2 linked regions of the Stegostoma tigrinum genome follow. The protein of the gene in region 1 interacts with the protein of each later gene in a pairwise test. Links are inferred from orthologs where the notes say so. Each region holds a gene or a part of one and is shown on either strand. Other genes may lie near its edges.

Region 1 (7,453 bases):
TGCAAAATTAGACATTTATTTCAGTTCCTATGAATAGTCTGATTTCAAGAACTGGAGCCTGGCCTTGAAATGGTGTTGCCTGCAGTATATGCTGGGGCAGGCAATGGCCTAGTGGTATTATCGCTGGACTGTTAATCCAGAGACCCCGATAAGGTTCTGGGACTCAGGTTCGAATCCTGCCACAGCAGATGGTGGAATTTGAATTCAATAAATATCTGGAATTAACAGTCTAATGATGGCCAAGAATCCATTGCCAATTGTCAGGAAAAACCCATCTGGTTGTCCTTTAGGGAAGGAAATTGTCGTCCTTACCTGGTCTGGTCTACATGTGACTCCAGACTCACAGCAATCTGGTTGACTCTGGGCAATCAGGAATTGCAATAAATACTGTCTAGCCTGCAATGCCCTCATCCCGTGAATGAATAAAGGAAAAAAATACTTCAAGATATGTTTCATTAGTTTCTAGAGCAAATAATTTTCACCTAACATCTATACTGTGTACAATGTCACCTAACTTTGTATCATCAAATTTGCATATGCCTTTCTAAACCATTAGTCAAGAAATTCGTCCTTATCTCTGTGACCTCTTATTCTGAAATAATGTTCTCTGGTCCTATCCTCTACTATAAGGAGAACATCCTTTCCATATCAAATCCTCTAAGAATCTTGTATATTGTAATAAAGTCTCCTACCATTCATCAAAATTCAAATGAATACAGGCCCAACCTCTCCCCATAAAACAGTCCCTCCACATCTGACATCAGCCTAGTGAACTTTCCCTGGACTACCTGCAATGCCAGTATATCTTTCCTTAGGTGAGGGGTCCAAAACTGTTTACATTAATCCATCTGTGGCCTGACCAGTGGAGAAGGTTTACTGCATTCTCTTTGAAATAAAGGTTGACATTCTATTTACCTTCACACTTACACACTGAATTTGAATGCTAGCTTTTTATGATTCTTGGATAAGAACTCCCAAATCCCTGTGTAGTCCTTCTGCAGTCTTTTTCTATTTAAAATGATACTCTGGTCCTCTACTGTCCTTGCCAAAGGGTAGAATATCACATATAATCTCAATCTCATATCATGACTCTGGGTCATTTTTTCCACTTGTTTTCCAACGTATTTTTCTGTCATCCACAAGTTTTCCTCATTCAAGTCAATAAGATAGAAATAACATCTGCACTGATGGTATAACGGACAATAAAAAAAAGGTTATCTCAGAGTACAACGGGACCTTGATGAGGTGGGCCGAGGAGAGGCAGATGAAGTTGAATTTAGGTGAATGTGAGGTGTTGCATTTTAGTAAGGCAAATTAGGGCTGGACTTATGCACCTTTGTAGGGTGCTGGGAAGTGCTGCTCAACCAAAGAGACCTTGGGATGCAGGGTCGTAGATCCTCGAAGGTGGAGTCACAGGTAGACAGGGTAGTGGCCTTTGGTACACTTGCCTTTGTTAGTCAGTCCATTGAGTATGAGAGGTGGGATACAGCTGTACAGGACATTGGTTGTACCACTTTAATACTGCATTCAATTCTGGTCTCCCCACTATAGGAAAGATGTTATTAAACATGAAAAGGTGCAGAAAAGGTTTGTATGGATGTTGCAGGGGTAGGAGGGTTTGCACCACAGGGAGAGACTGAACAGGCTGGGCCTATTTTCCCTCGAGCATCGGAGGCTTAGGGGTGAACTTATAGAGGTTTATGAAATCATGAGCAGCACGGACAGAATAGCCAAGGCATCCTCCTCTCCCCATAACAGTAGGGGAGTCCAAAACTACAGGGCATACGTTTAAGGTGACAGTGGAAGGATTTCAAACAGACCTAAGGGGGCAACTTTTTTTACACAGGTGGTGCACATATGGTAATAGCTGCCACAGGAGGTGCAGGAGGCCATTACAATTACAACATTTAAAACGGCACCTGAATGGGTATATGAAGAGGGGAAGAGTCTACAGGAATATGGGCCATATTCTGGCAAATTGGACTGGCTTAATTTAGGATATACAGTCAGCATAGACAAGTTAGACTGAAGCGTCTGTTTCCATGCTGTACAACTCTGTGGCTCTATTTACAAACTAGCTGCAGTGAATCTGGCTTTTGGTTGAGTCATAGTAAGTCAGCTGACTGTACAATTTTGAACAGACCTACGAAGTACAGTTTCAGAGACTGAAACTCTGCAGGATTTATCAGTGGAAACCTGATACGGGATTTTCAGGAAGCATTTGATACAGTGACTATTACACAAGATTATGAACAACATACTCATACAGACGTACATTTAGTTAACAAACAGAAAAATCCTGGAACTTACTGTATGCAATTTTGCTGGTGCTTTCCACGTTGTTATCATGCACTTTAATTTTTGTAAAGCGCTTTGGAATGTTACGAAATGCGCTGTATAACGAAACACAAATTCTGACTATCTTCAAAAGATAAGTCACTTATTTCCGAGGCCTTTCATGAACTCAGAATTTCTCGAAGTGCTCTGGAGATAATGAAGTACTTTTCGAGGTCTATTTATTGCTGTAGGGAACAATTTCTGTTTAACAAAGTCCCCATAACAATAATTCATAAAGTTCAGATTAGAGGCTTAATAAGGCCCAAGGAAATGGTGCTGTCTGAAAGATAAATAAGAATATTGTCCAGGGCTGGGGCGGAGGAATCAGCTGCATTTAACGGGAATACTCCTGAGATCTTTCACCGCGCCTGACGGGGCCTCAATGGAACCAGAGCCTCACTCACCGAGAGCAGCGGACCCAGAGTCAACCAGTACCCTCCAACCTAACACCGCACTCCAATCCGTTACCCTCTCTCCCAAGTAAAACGTCTTCGTGTCGGCCTTAAAGCGATTTCTCACCCAGACCTGCCTCCTCTCCGGGCTGACTGTCGCCTTCAATCCGAGACCAAGCCGTTGAGGCCTGAAAGCCTTTGCTGACGTCGCCAATGGAACAGGAAAGACGCCATCTTGAGAAGGTCACCCTGCTCAGGGTGAGGGGTCAGCTCAGTGATGTCATATACACTAGCAGCCACTGATTGGTCGAACAGCCCAAAGGGACGGTCATGGGTTTACATCACACCGGGCTGTTGACATCATTCCCTCCGCGTTGGCCGGAAATTGTTTAGAACGTCATCACGCAGGCACTTCCTGCTGCCGCTTCCGTTAGAAACTACTAGTCGCCGCGAGCTCCCAGCCAGGAACTGCCAGAGTGGAGCCATCAAGCCCAGCCTGTGGCATTGTCAGAGCCAGACTCTGTACCTGAGTCGTTAGCGCTAAAGCCAGACTTCGGACCGGCAGATCCTGAGCACCAGCTCCTGATCCGCGACACCAGCCATCAAACCCCCGGGCCCGTACCCGGAAACGCAGGGCGCTGACCTCTGAGGCCTCGAATTGCCGTGCCTTGACCCAGACGCCGAACTTCGATTCTGGGCCCACCCGCTCCTCTCCTGGAACCATGGGGATCACCCTGTCGAAAGTGTTTGACCGGCTCTTTTCGAGGAAGCAGATGAGAATCCTGATGGGTAAGTGCCCTGTAATCGTGGTTCAAGCCAAGGACTGTCGGATAACCGGCTGTAGCTCAATTAGAGTCACAGAGCTGTACAGCATGGCAACAGACCCTTCGGTCCAACTTGTTCATGCCGACCCGATATCCTAAATTAACCTAGTCTCATTTGTCAGCATTTGGCCATATCCTTCTACACCCTTCCTATTCATATATCAATCCAGATACCTTTTAAATGTTGTAATAGTGCCAGCCGCCACTACTTCCTCTGGCAGTTCATTCCATACACGCACCACCCTCTGCATAGAAAAGTTCCCCTTAGGTCCCTTGTAAAATCTTTCCCCTCTCACTTTTAACCTCTGCCCTCTAGTTTTGGATTCCCTACCCCTGGCAAAAAGACCATGGCTATTCACCCTGTTTCTGCCCCATATAATCTTATAAACCTTGATAAGGTCACCTCTCAGCCTCTGACTCTCCAGGGAAAATAGCCCCAGCCTGTTTAGTGTCTTTGTATAGTTCAAATCCTCCAATCTTGGTAACTTCCTTGTAAAGGATCAAAAAAAAAAGAAGCTGGAAAAGTGCAGCAGGACTTGAAAAAGGATTCTGACTCAAAAAGGTGACTTTTCTGCTCCTTAGATGCTGTCTGAGCTGCTGTGCTTTTCCAACTTGTTTTTAAACTCTAGCTTTGAGCATCTGCAGTCCTTTCTATCTCCAACATTCTTGTAAAGCTTTTCTGAACCCTTTCAGGTTTCACAATATGAGACTGGTACGTATAATCCTGTTGCGTTTGTAATGAGTTTGAAGGAAATGAGTGAATGATAATACTGAGGCTTGTAAGAAATTTCATACTGGGAGGGTGCTGTTGAATGTTTAGTTTGTGATCTGTCTTTATCTCTATAAATACTTATTTGGTTTTAATGTTTTTTTGGTATATGTAATCCTAGTGTTGGATTTAACCTCTAATATTGTTGGTTTTAGATTATTGTTTCTCATCAGCCCTAAGAACAGTTTCTGTGAAATGTCTGGGGAGTTCATGTCCTGAATCATAACTTGCCATCACCTTCTGGTTTGCCCATGCTGTTTCTCATTCATTTACAGTAAAAGCCATTTGAGCATTGCCATAGAAGCCCAGCAGTGCAGATAGAGACCATTCAGCCCATTATGAGTCTGCACTGACCCCACACATCCCTGAAAACTATAGGGTAATTTAACACGGCCAGTGCACCAAATCTGCACATCTTTGGACTGTGGGAGGAAACTGGATCATTTAGCAGAAACCCACGCAGACAGAAGGAGAAGTGCAAACTCCACACAGACATTTGCCCAAGTCTGGAATCAAGCCCAAGTCCATGGCACTATGAGGCAGCTGTACTAATCGCTGTGAGTTTACGATGGCTGATTGATTAAAAGGATTTTTTAAATCCAGTTTTCAAATTACTGTTTAAAATGCTGCAGTGCATTCCAGATCATGAAGGAAGGCTGTCACCTCCTGTTGCAGTGGATTCTTTTCACAGTTGCCTTAAATCTATTCTCAAATCAGCCTTTTGGCCACTGAAACAGTTTTATCCTATTAATTATAAAAATAATTCATAATATTTTAATCCCTTTGCTGAACCTCCCATTTTCTGGTCAAGAGAGAACAAGTTAATTTCTCGATGTTTATATGTAATCAAAACCCCTCGTTCCAGCTATGATTTGACTGCATTCCTCCTGCACCTTCTCGCAGTATTTGTAATTGGATACAATACACCAACCAAGCACAGCTAGTTTTTTCCAAAACATTTCCGTAGCTTCCTTGCTTTTGTCCTATTTCTGAATGCAATGATCCCCTGTGCATTTCCATCAGCGTACAAAACTTGCCATACCTCTATCAAAGACTTGTACCTACATTCTGCATTCCTGAGTCAGCTTGACAGCTGCATTAATTTGCTCATGTTTTTCCTTAAAGTTGTTAACTTCAATCTTCTCTGTTATATTGTATCTCCAATACAAAGACTCATTTCATCTGTTCGCATTCCTGAAACCTTTCTAATTAAAGTTACTGTTAAGTCCATCATGTCTTACCAACTTGATAGAATTCTTTGAGGAAGTGACAAAGTTGATAGATGAGGGAACGGCTGTAGATGCCATATACATGAACTTCAGTAAGGTGTTTGATAAGGTAACCAACGGTAGGCTGATGGAGAAAGTGAAGTTGCATGGGGTCCGGGGTGTACTAACTAGATGGATAGAGAACTGGCTGGGCAAAGGAGACAGAGAGTTGTAGTGGAAGGGAGTTTCTCAAAATGGAGAATTGTGACCAGTGATGTTCCACAGGTACCCGTATTCGGACCACTGTTGTTTGTGACATATGTAAATGATCTGGAGGAAGGTTTGGATGGTCTGATTAGCAAATTTGCAGATGACACTAAGATTGGTGGAGGAGCAGATAGTGAAGGGGACTGTCGGAGAGTGCAGCAGAATATAGATAGATTGGAGAGTTGGGTAGAGAAATGGCAGGTGGAGTTCAATCCAGGAAAATGCAAGGTGATGCATTTTGGAAAATCCCATTCAAGAGCGAACTGTACGGTAAATGGAAAAGCCCTGAGGAAAATTACACTGAGAGATCTGGATGTTCAGGTCTATTGAGTACAAGAGTTGGCAGGTCATGTTGCAGTTGTATAGGACCTTGGTTCAACCACATTTGGAATACTGCGTACAGTTCTGGTTGCCACATTACCAAAAGGATGTGGATGCTTTGGAGAGGGTGTGGAGGAGGTTCACCAGGATGTTGCCTGGTATGGAGGGCGCTAGCTATGAAGAGAGGTTGAGTAGATTAGGATTATTTACATTAGAAAGATGAGGTTGAGGGAGGACCTGACTGAAGTCTACAAAATCACGAGAGGTATAGGCAGAGTGGCTAGCAAGAAGCTTTTTCCCAGAATGGGGGAACTCAATTACCAGGGGTCACAATTTCAAGGTGAGAGCGGAAAGGTTTAAGGGAGATATGCGTGGAAATTTCTTTACGCAGAGAGTTGTGGGTGCCTGGAACGTGTTGCCAGTGGACGTGGTAGAGGTGGGCATGATAGCATCATTTTAAGATGTATCTGGATAGACACATGAATGGGCAGGGAGCAGAGGGATACAGATCCTTGAAAAATAGGCAACAGGTTTAGATAGAGGATCTGGATCAGTGCAGGCTTGGAGGGCTGAAGGGTTTGTTCCTGTGCTATAATTTTCTTTGCTCTTTGTTCTTTGTTCCTTGTTCCTATCAGGTGGTGCATTCTATGTCCTACTCATCATTGTGTAGAGAAAAGTTTATCCTTATGTAATTTGATTATTTGAACAATCATGTTAAATCAGTATCTTCTGATTATTTAGTTTTCTAGTGGGTACAATTTCTGATTTGAGCTGAGAACTCGCCATGATTTTAACAGCTGTTTGGTTTAGCAATGTCCTTTAGGGAAGGAAACTGCCATCCTTACCTGGTCTGGTCTGCAGGTGATTCCAGACCCAGAGCAATGTGGTTGACTCTTAACTGCCTTCTGGGCAATTAGGGATGGGCATTAAATGCTGATGTAGTTCAGTGGTGCCCTTATTTTGTGAATAATAATTTAAAAATTGCTTTAGCCTTTGACCAACGATAACCAACTCAACTTTTCTAGCCTGTCCACACAACTATAATTTCTCATTTCTGAAATTGCTCCAGTAATCCCTCCTATATCATCTCCAAAGCTTCAAGTCTTTCTTAAAGGATAGTGCCCAAACTTTTGCACAGTACTCCACTTAGGCTGTGTTTGTGTGTGTTACTCTGCCACATTTATGAAACTCAGAATGCAGTGTAGTTTATTGATTGCTGTTTAGCCTGCCCTGATACTTTCAAACATTTCTTGTTATGGATGAGACGCAGACCACTTCAAAATACTTTAAGTAGGTAGCCTAGATCCAACTTTTTCTTATTTCAAAGGCAACTGT
Region 2 (7,095 bases), on another chromosome or scaffold:
CAAATGCTGTCCTGAGAAGACAAGTACAAACAAGACATTTACTTTATGATTTTATTAAAAATTACATTTACAAATCTACAATAGCTAATGCTATATTACAAGCTTTTTGCAGTTCTACTACTTTTGGCTTTCCTAACTTCTTCAATCAAGTCTTTTAAATATTGAATTTCTTTTGTTAATGAGTCAGCTTTCTCTTGCAAGGTTTTATTTTTCTCTTCCAGTAAGCTACATTCTGCAAGTATGGCACCATGCTCTGCTCTCTTCTTTTGCCTGTACCGTGTCGCTGCACTTTTGTTCTGCTCCATCTTCTTCAACTTTTTCTCCAGACCTCTTGACTCCACACTAACTTTTACTTTTGACAAATTGCCTACATTTTCTGTACTGGGACGATCATATGGTTTTGGCCTAATAGGACTTGAGTCATCTGATGACAAGCCACTAGTTTGTGGTGACCCTTCTGACATATTTTTGTCAGATGATTCAGCAGGAGAGTGTGGGGGACTAGTCCCAACTCCACTGTCAGAATCCCGCATTAGCCTGTCATCCTCCTCTTTGACAGAGTCCTGCAGGGGCGGAGGAAATTCCTCACATGAAACTCCAGTCTCATTCTCCAGGAAGTGTAACAAGTGATCAGGGGTTGGGATTAAAGATTCTGGGGTAATGGTTGGGGTACTAGGAGCCAGCTGATCTGACCCAGGGGGTGAATTTGGAAATGGCCTGTGATCAGAACTCAAACCAAGGTCAGCTACTTGTAGTTTAGCTGGCAAAGGATCAAAAGGCAATTCTTCCAGAACACAGGAACTGTCCAAGACAGCCAACAGCTCCTCTGAGGAGGGAGAGCCATTTTCACCCATGAACAAATTGTCAAAGAGATCAGTCTTCTCCATCCAGTCGAAGCCGGTGAACGCATCCTCTGTAAAAACAAGGGGAGGGGGAAGATTAAGTCAACATTATTCACATAAAAAATCCACTACAGAACACAGGACAGCAAAAACGACAGGACCGAGAGTCTCAATACAAACAGAACTAAACAGGAAGTTACCCAAGAAGAAACACAGAAGTTGCTGAAGAAGGGTCACCAGACCAGTAACATTAACTTTTTTTTCTTCACAGATGCGGCCAGACTTGCTGAGCTTTTCCAGCAACTTGTCTTTGTCTCCGATTTACAGCATCCACAGTACTTTCAATTTTTATTTAGGAAATTACCTAAAAAAGTTCAGCTCCACATTACGAGATAATGTATGACAAAGCACAGGCTGTGTTGTCATCAGGTGCTGAAACAGCAGAGCTGAAAGTGGAGCCTTACAGATGTTCAGAGATGTTTTCAACTTTTAATACTGGCTACCGAGCATTAATGTGTAATTGAAGTGCATCACCTACATTGGTTTGTCAACTAATTCAAAAGTGAGTCAACCACCCACTACAATCAGCTGCTACTCAAGCATCACAATCGATTGTTCTTAACTTACCCACAGTATCATCGGTGTCCAGTAACTTGTCAACACACGTGATCAGGGAGGACACATCGCTTTCCTCATTGCCATCAAACAGGAGTGGTCTGAGGTACGATTTCACCGGCCCGGCCTCCGCCAGGTCTGTGTGCAGGAGACACGGGTCCCCTTCAGCCGTCAGAAACGGCGAACTCGGGGACATCATGAAGTCCTCCATCAGGGAAGAGAAAGAATCTGGCCAATCTGAAGTCATCTGACTGTATTTTTGAACTGAGATACTCTTCAAGGAAAAACAAAGTCTTCAAGTCGAGTGTTACTATGCTGTCGACTACAGCAAAGCTGAGAAGCCCATTGTGGAGCCTGGGAATAAAACAGGATATCATTCATTTTCCATGCATTTAACTCTGGCATAGCAGCATTCAAGAAAAACTGCACAACAAAAAAACTTGCACGTCAACACAAGACATTTGAATTCAATTTCAGACAACCCAAATGATTGCCCAGAGCATATTGGGGAAGCGGAAGGAAGATTGAGACTCAACAGACGAATTGCCAGCAGGCACAAGTACGGAATTTTAAGTGCTGACACATCAAATTACTACTGAATAGTAAAGAAAACTGTAGGAGAGCTTAAAAAGGGGCAGATGCGCAATTTGAAAGCCTGGTGGGAGAAATGTAGATAAGGCACTGGGTGTCCCACTAAAGAGTTAACTAGGATCTTCAAACCACACCCTGGAACAGATGGCGGAAGGACAAGAGCAACTGGGTGTCTCCTTCGTGACTCTGCCACGTTTAAGCATGAAGACAAGCCACCATCTTCACCCAGTCACAAACAACCCGCTGGCGCCAGTGAGGATACCTGAACATCTCACCTAACCCAGCCCCAAGAGACATAACATTTATTAAAGAAGGGAATAGAGAGAAATATAGCGCCAGGAGGGTTAACTATTCCAAAGATGGAAGTGCCTTAGCACATCGACTGATCAACCCAAAACATGCCCAGAGACATCTTTGCCAACCACCAAAGATTTCAAAAATGAAGCACTTCAAAACCGGGGGCATACGATTAAGGAAAATATGTCGCGTTATTAATGTATTGAGCTCTGGTTTTGGTGGTGGGGGAAGGAAACCGGCCCTTCCGATTAATGTCCGGAAAATAACACAAAACACGATCGGGTGTTTACATTTTAGGCGGATTGTATCGCGTTTGTTCACGAACTGTTCCGGTGTAACCGATTTCATTGAAATCCCCAACGCCCACTGAGGCCTCTTCGGGCCACGAGGCAGAAGAGGATAAAATGGCGGGACCCCATGTATTAAAAAGGCGGGATCTTCCGGGGTTTTATTTTATTCGGCGAGGGCGTGAAAAAGGATGACTTACGCCATTTTTGAAGCTGGTGCGTGCTGTTGTTGCCCAGTGCACTGCACTGATGCGTCGCTGCCGCTGCTGCCTGTCTATTGAGCCGCCATGCCGAACCCCGGGCGGATCGGACTCGGAGAAAGAGTGCGAAACTTCCTCCGTTTAATCATCTGCGAGCCGCGGAATACGGCAGCGAGCCTGCAGCAGGCATTTAAATAGCCTCGGCCTCACCTCTCCCCTAATGCCTCTGCTCCCTCCGCCCACGTGACGTCATCACAAAATAGACCCCATTCCGCTCGCAGGCTAGCGGGAAGAAATGAGCTTTAAATCATCGGCGTTTGCGGCTGATTTTTCTTTAGTCTCGACTTATGGCGTCGAGCAGAGGGCATTGTATTTATTTTTTGCGGTGGGTTGTCTATTTTTTTTGGAAAAGCAGAAACGGGGCTTGTGAGAAGCGAGGACGGTGGCCGGTCCTACTTGCGATCACGCGCTCGGCTGTTCGGGAGGCGCTTTCTGGTTGGTCCGTTCACGTGATGGGATGATGCTGATTGGCAGAGCGGCGGTCAATGGCACGCCCCGAACCAAACCACGTGGGTTAATTGTTGGGGAGGAGGGGGAAGTTGGTATCATGGTGGGTGTTGTTACTTTTTAATGGAGATGCTGCCATAAATCATAAGTGAACCATAAGGTACAGATTAAAACTTCGAAAGGCAGGGAATGAGGATTTGAACGGCGCAAATATTTGCACTGTGGAAGAGGAACTAGCTGGGTAACTCCGAGGGCTAGCACAGCCACAATGGGCTGAATGGCTTTTACTTTGTACCCTCTGTAATTCTACCTCGGAAATATAGGTTATGAATGGGCTACTTGGCTCTGTCAGTCTGATAATCAAGGGTTATTGGTGTCATAGAGCTGTACAGCATACATTCTTTTTGGTCCAACTTGTCTATGCTGACCAGATATCCTAAATAAATCTAGTCCCACTTGCCAGCATTTGGTCCATATTCCTCATAAACCCTTCCTATTCACGTACCTATCCAGATGCCTTCTACCGTAAGATGTCAGAGCAAAGTAGGCCATTCAGCCATTGAGCCTGCACCACTGCTGCCCCCCTCCATCCTTGCTGCCACAAGTTGAGATGGACAATGTACATTTACTTTATAAGAAAGCTAACTACGTATACAAGATAGAAAGAAGCCCAAGGATATGTTGCAAGAGCATGATAAGTGGTGGGCGGAGGCTCACGTTGTGCTTAAACTCTGCATGGATCTATTAAAAGCCACAAGGCCTACTTGAATGTTGTAGTTTCAATGTAACAACCACGTTGCTGTTTCTGGGATCTTGTTGTGTGCGCATTGGCTGCTGTGTTTTTCAAATAGGTGTCTACCCCTCTTCCCCCGCCCCCCCCCCCCCCCCCCCCCCGCCACTTCCAAAGCTAAGCAACTCAAACTTTCGCTAAGTCCCACTCACTCATACTTGCATTGCTATGCTTTGATTCCCAGTTTATTGATACCTCAAATTTTCCATGTGTTTAATTTATTTCTGCTGCCTTCCTATCTCTGGGTAGGAGATGAAGGTTATCCTGATACAGTCAGTTAAAGTCAGATGAGAGGAGGTTTGTGTGAACGTCAACCAGTTGGGAGCAGGCCATTTCATCTGTGTTTTAATGTTTGATGTACTGTCTTTGTAGTCACTTTGTAAGAGAATTAGAACTCATGATGAAAACATGAATTCATTTACTATAAGGGAAGTTTCAGCATTGTTAAGTAATTGATGGAAATCAGGTCAGGCACATTAGCTGCAAGGATAATTAAAATGGTGGATAATCTTCATCAGGTCTGTTGAGATTAAAGATTTAATTCTGTATCTGTAGCTGCACTCTTAGGAAAAAAAATCTTTCAGACAACATTGCGCTGATTTGACTCTCAAACTTGAATTGCAGTGAAAACCATCATTTATGTGTAAGAAAATCCTGCGTGTCCTGCTGTATTTATAATAATGCCACATTAACCTGTGTAGCCATTACCTGACAAACCAGAATGGGCAAATGGGGGCTTGAATTTAATACTTCAACCAAAACATCGACAGTAGACCCCACCATTATTAAATCTGCCTTCAAGCTGTGAATTTATTCCTCACGTGCACACTAGTGCATTTCTGTACATGTGGCATTTGTGAGTGTGCTGACAATCTGCTGGATCGATGCTTAAACCTCTCAACTTTCTCCGTGACTTGGCAAGCAGCATGTTATTCTGTGAAGCATGTCCACGTTTCGTTTCCATGGAAGCTGTTCTATGATGATTAAACCCCATTTAAAGAGCAGTTAAATATTTCCATTAACAGCATCTGGGCTTCTGCACTGTGTTATTTACTTGGTATGTGGCAGGCAAAATAATTAGTATGACTGAAAGTGACGACAATGGTGCATCAAGAGGATTAAAGAAATCTAGATCTAATTACCAAGTGCTTCAAGCCCCAATCCAAAACATGAATCGTAATGATAATCTGTAGAGTATAAAACTTCCCTTTCATTTGAATTCTAACTTTAAATAGTCATATAAATATTCAGAACATGTATGTGATATGGGTTAAAATAGAACTAAGAGCTGTGGATCCTGGAGTTCTGAAACAAAAACAGAAATTGCTGTAGAAACTTAACAGGTCTGGCAACATCGGTGGGGAGAAAGCAGAGTTAATGTTTCAAGTTCGGTGACGCTTCATCAACTTGCGTCTGGCATTCCCCCTGAGGGAATGCGGCTGTGTTCGAGAAGCTGTTTTTCAGGGGATGAGCTATTAAACCAAGACTCCTGCCTTCCCCCTCAGGTAGGCATAAATTAGCCCACTTTTCCCCAGACCCCTGGCCATTACTTATCCTCCAACTAACATCCTCCAACTAACATCATTAAAATGGCTGTCACTTTATTCTTTCATTTATAACCAACTTGTTCTGACCCACCTCTGGGAAAGGTGGGACTTGGACCCAGACCTTCCACGTAGGGACAACACTACTGTACTACAAATCTCCCTTTTACTACAAGTGCTATTCCCAAGCATTTTCCCCTTCAAAGGAACACTAGGCCTGATTATAGCCTTCAAGATCAGACTGGTGTGGCTAAGGGAAGGACTTTCTTAATCAAACTGTTGGGACATGTAATGATGCCAGGACAAACTTGAGTGCAAATCTTCTGGCTTTGAGGAACAGAAACTACCGGTGTGAAATAAGACCATGAAGACGTAGGAGCAGAGTTAGACCATTTGGTTACCTATTCAATCAGATCATGGCTGATCTGATAATCCTCAATGCCACTTTCCAGCCTTTTCCCCCAAAATCTCAATTCTCTTACTGGTTAAAAATCTATCTCAGCCTTGAATGAACTTGACAACCGAACCTCAACAGCCCTTGATGGTAGAGAATTCCATAGAGATGAAATTCCTCCTCCTCTCTGTCTTAAATAGGTGGCTCCTCATTCTAAGATTAGGCCCTCTGGTCTCAGCCTTTCCCACAAGGGGGAAACAATATCTCCACTTCTATCCTGTCAAGCCCACTTAGAGGGAGATGTTTTCTTTTAGAAACCTATTTTGGCATGTTCTGAAACACCTCTTAAGGAATGTGGCACTTAACCGTAGAATAACTGGCTCAGTAATAGGGATTCTACCCTTGTGTTGCTTAATACATCACAATATTGGCTACATTTCAAAAGTACTTAATTAGTTACTAAGCAGCACAGTGACATCCTGGAAGGCAGGATTTAATGACAGCCTTTCTTTCTGACTCTGTGCCTCCAAAGAAAAACGCAGCAGGACGGAAAGAAGGCAGATTTAATGGGCTACGCTTTCAAGTTTGCAAATTCATCTGTGGCACTGGCAGAGTATCCTGGACGACTGAGAGGAACAATTTTTTTTGTCGCTGTAGATCACGTAGATGTGTATCTGGCCACAAATAAAATTTAAAATGCTGCCATTGAGTTGAATCCATTGATTTGAAGAGAGTTTGATTTTCTGACAGCTAAGAAAATGGCAAAGAAAAGTTATTTCCAAATCTTCTAGTTCACACACTTAGTACAAAGGGACATATCAGGCCTTAGACTTAATGACCACTGATTACTGAAGGCGGTGAAAAAGACATTTGAGGATGGCTCCCTTTATTCAATCAGGCACAGATTCTAAGAGCTGAGAGATAATGTGAGAACTGGATAAAACATTGCTGGAAAACCACACACAGTTCTTGTCACCACATTGCGGGAACCATTGCAGTCCATTTGGTGTAGAGTCACGCACAATACT

Evidence for each region. The genes of interacting proteins can lie anywhere in the genome.
Region 2: the proteins of gcc1 (region 1) and atf4a interact in binary tests that used the Homo sapiens proteins (3 or more experiments, as listed by UniProt). The two-hybrid records come from large-scale screens. The link is inferred for Stegostoma tigrinum from reciprocal best matches to the Homo sapiens genes GCC1 and ATF4.

Annotation. Positions count from the first base shown.
Region 1 is NC_081378.1:21,994,216-22,001,668, reverse strand, and holds the start of gcc1 (GRIP and coiled-coil domain-containing protein 1), read right to left. Parts: upstream 3,006-7,453; 5' UTR 2,863-3,005; exon of another isoform or gene 2,311-2,862; intron 1-2,310. Other genes in the region: uncharacterized protein LOC125463107, read left to right, coding at 3,452-3,518. UniProt on the Homo sapiens protein: Probably involved in maintaining Golgi structure.
Region 2 is NC_081391.1:9,242,751-9,249,845, reverse strand, and holds atf4a (cyclic AMP-dependent transcription factor ATF-4), read right to left. Parts: upstream 3,008-7,095; 5' UTR 2,833-3,007; intron 1,812-2,832; 5' UTR 1,705-1,811; coding exon 1,470-1,704; intron 914-1,469; coding exon 96-913; 3' UTR 38-95; downstream 1-37. UniProt on the Homo sapiens protein: Transcription factor that binds the cAMP response element (CRE) (consensus: 5'-GTGACGT[AC][AG]-3') and displays two biological functions, as regulator of metabolic and redox processes under normal cellular conditions, and as master transcription factor during integrated stress response (ISR).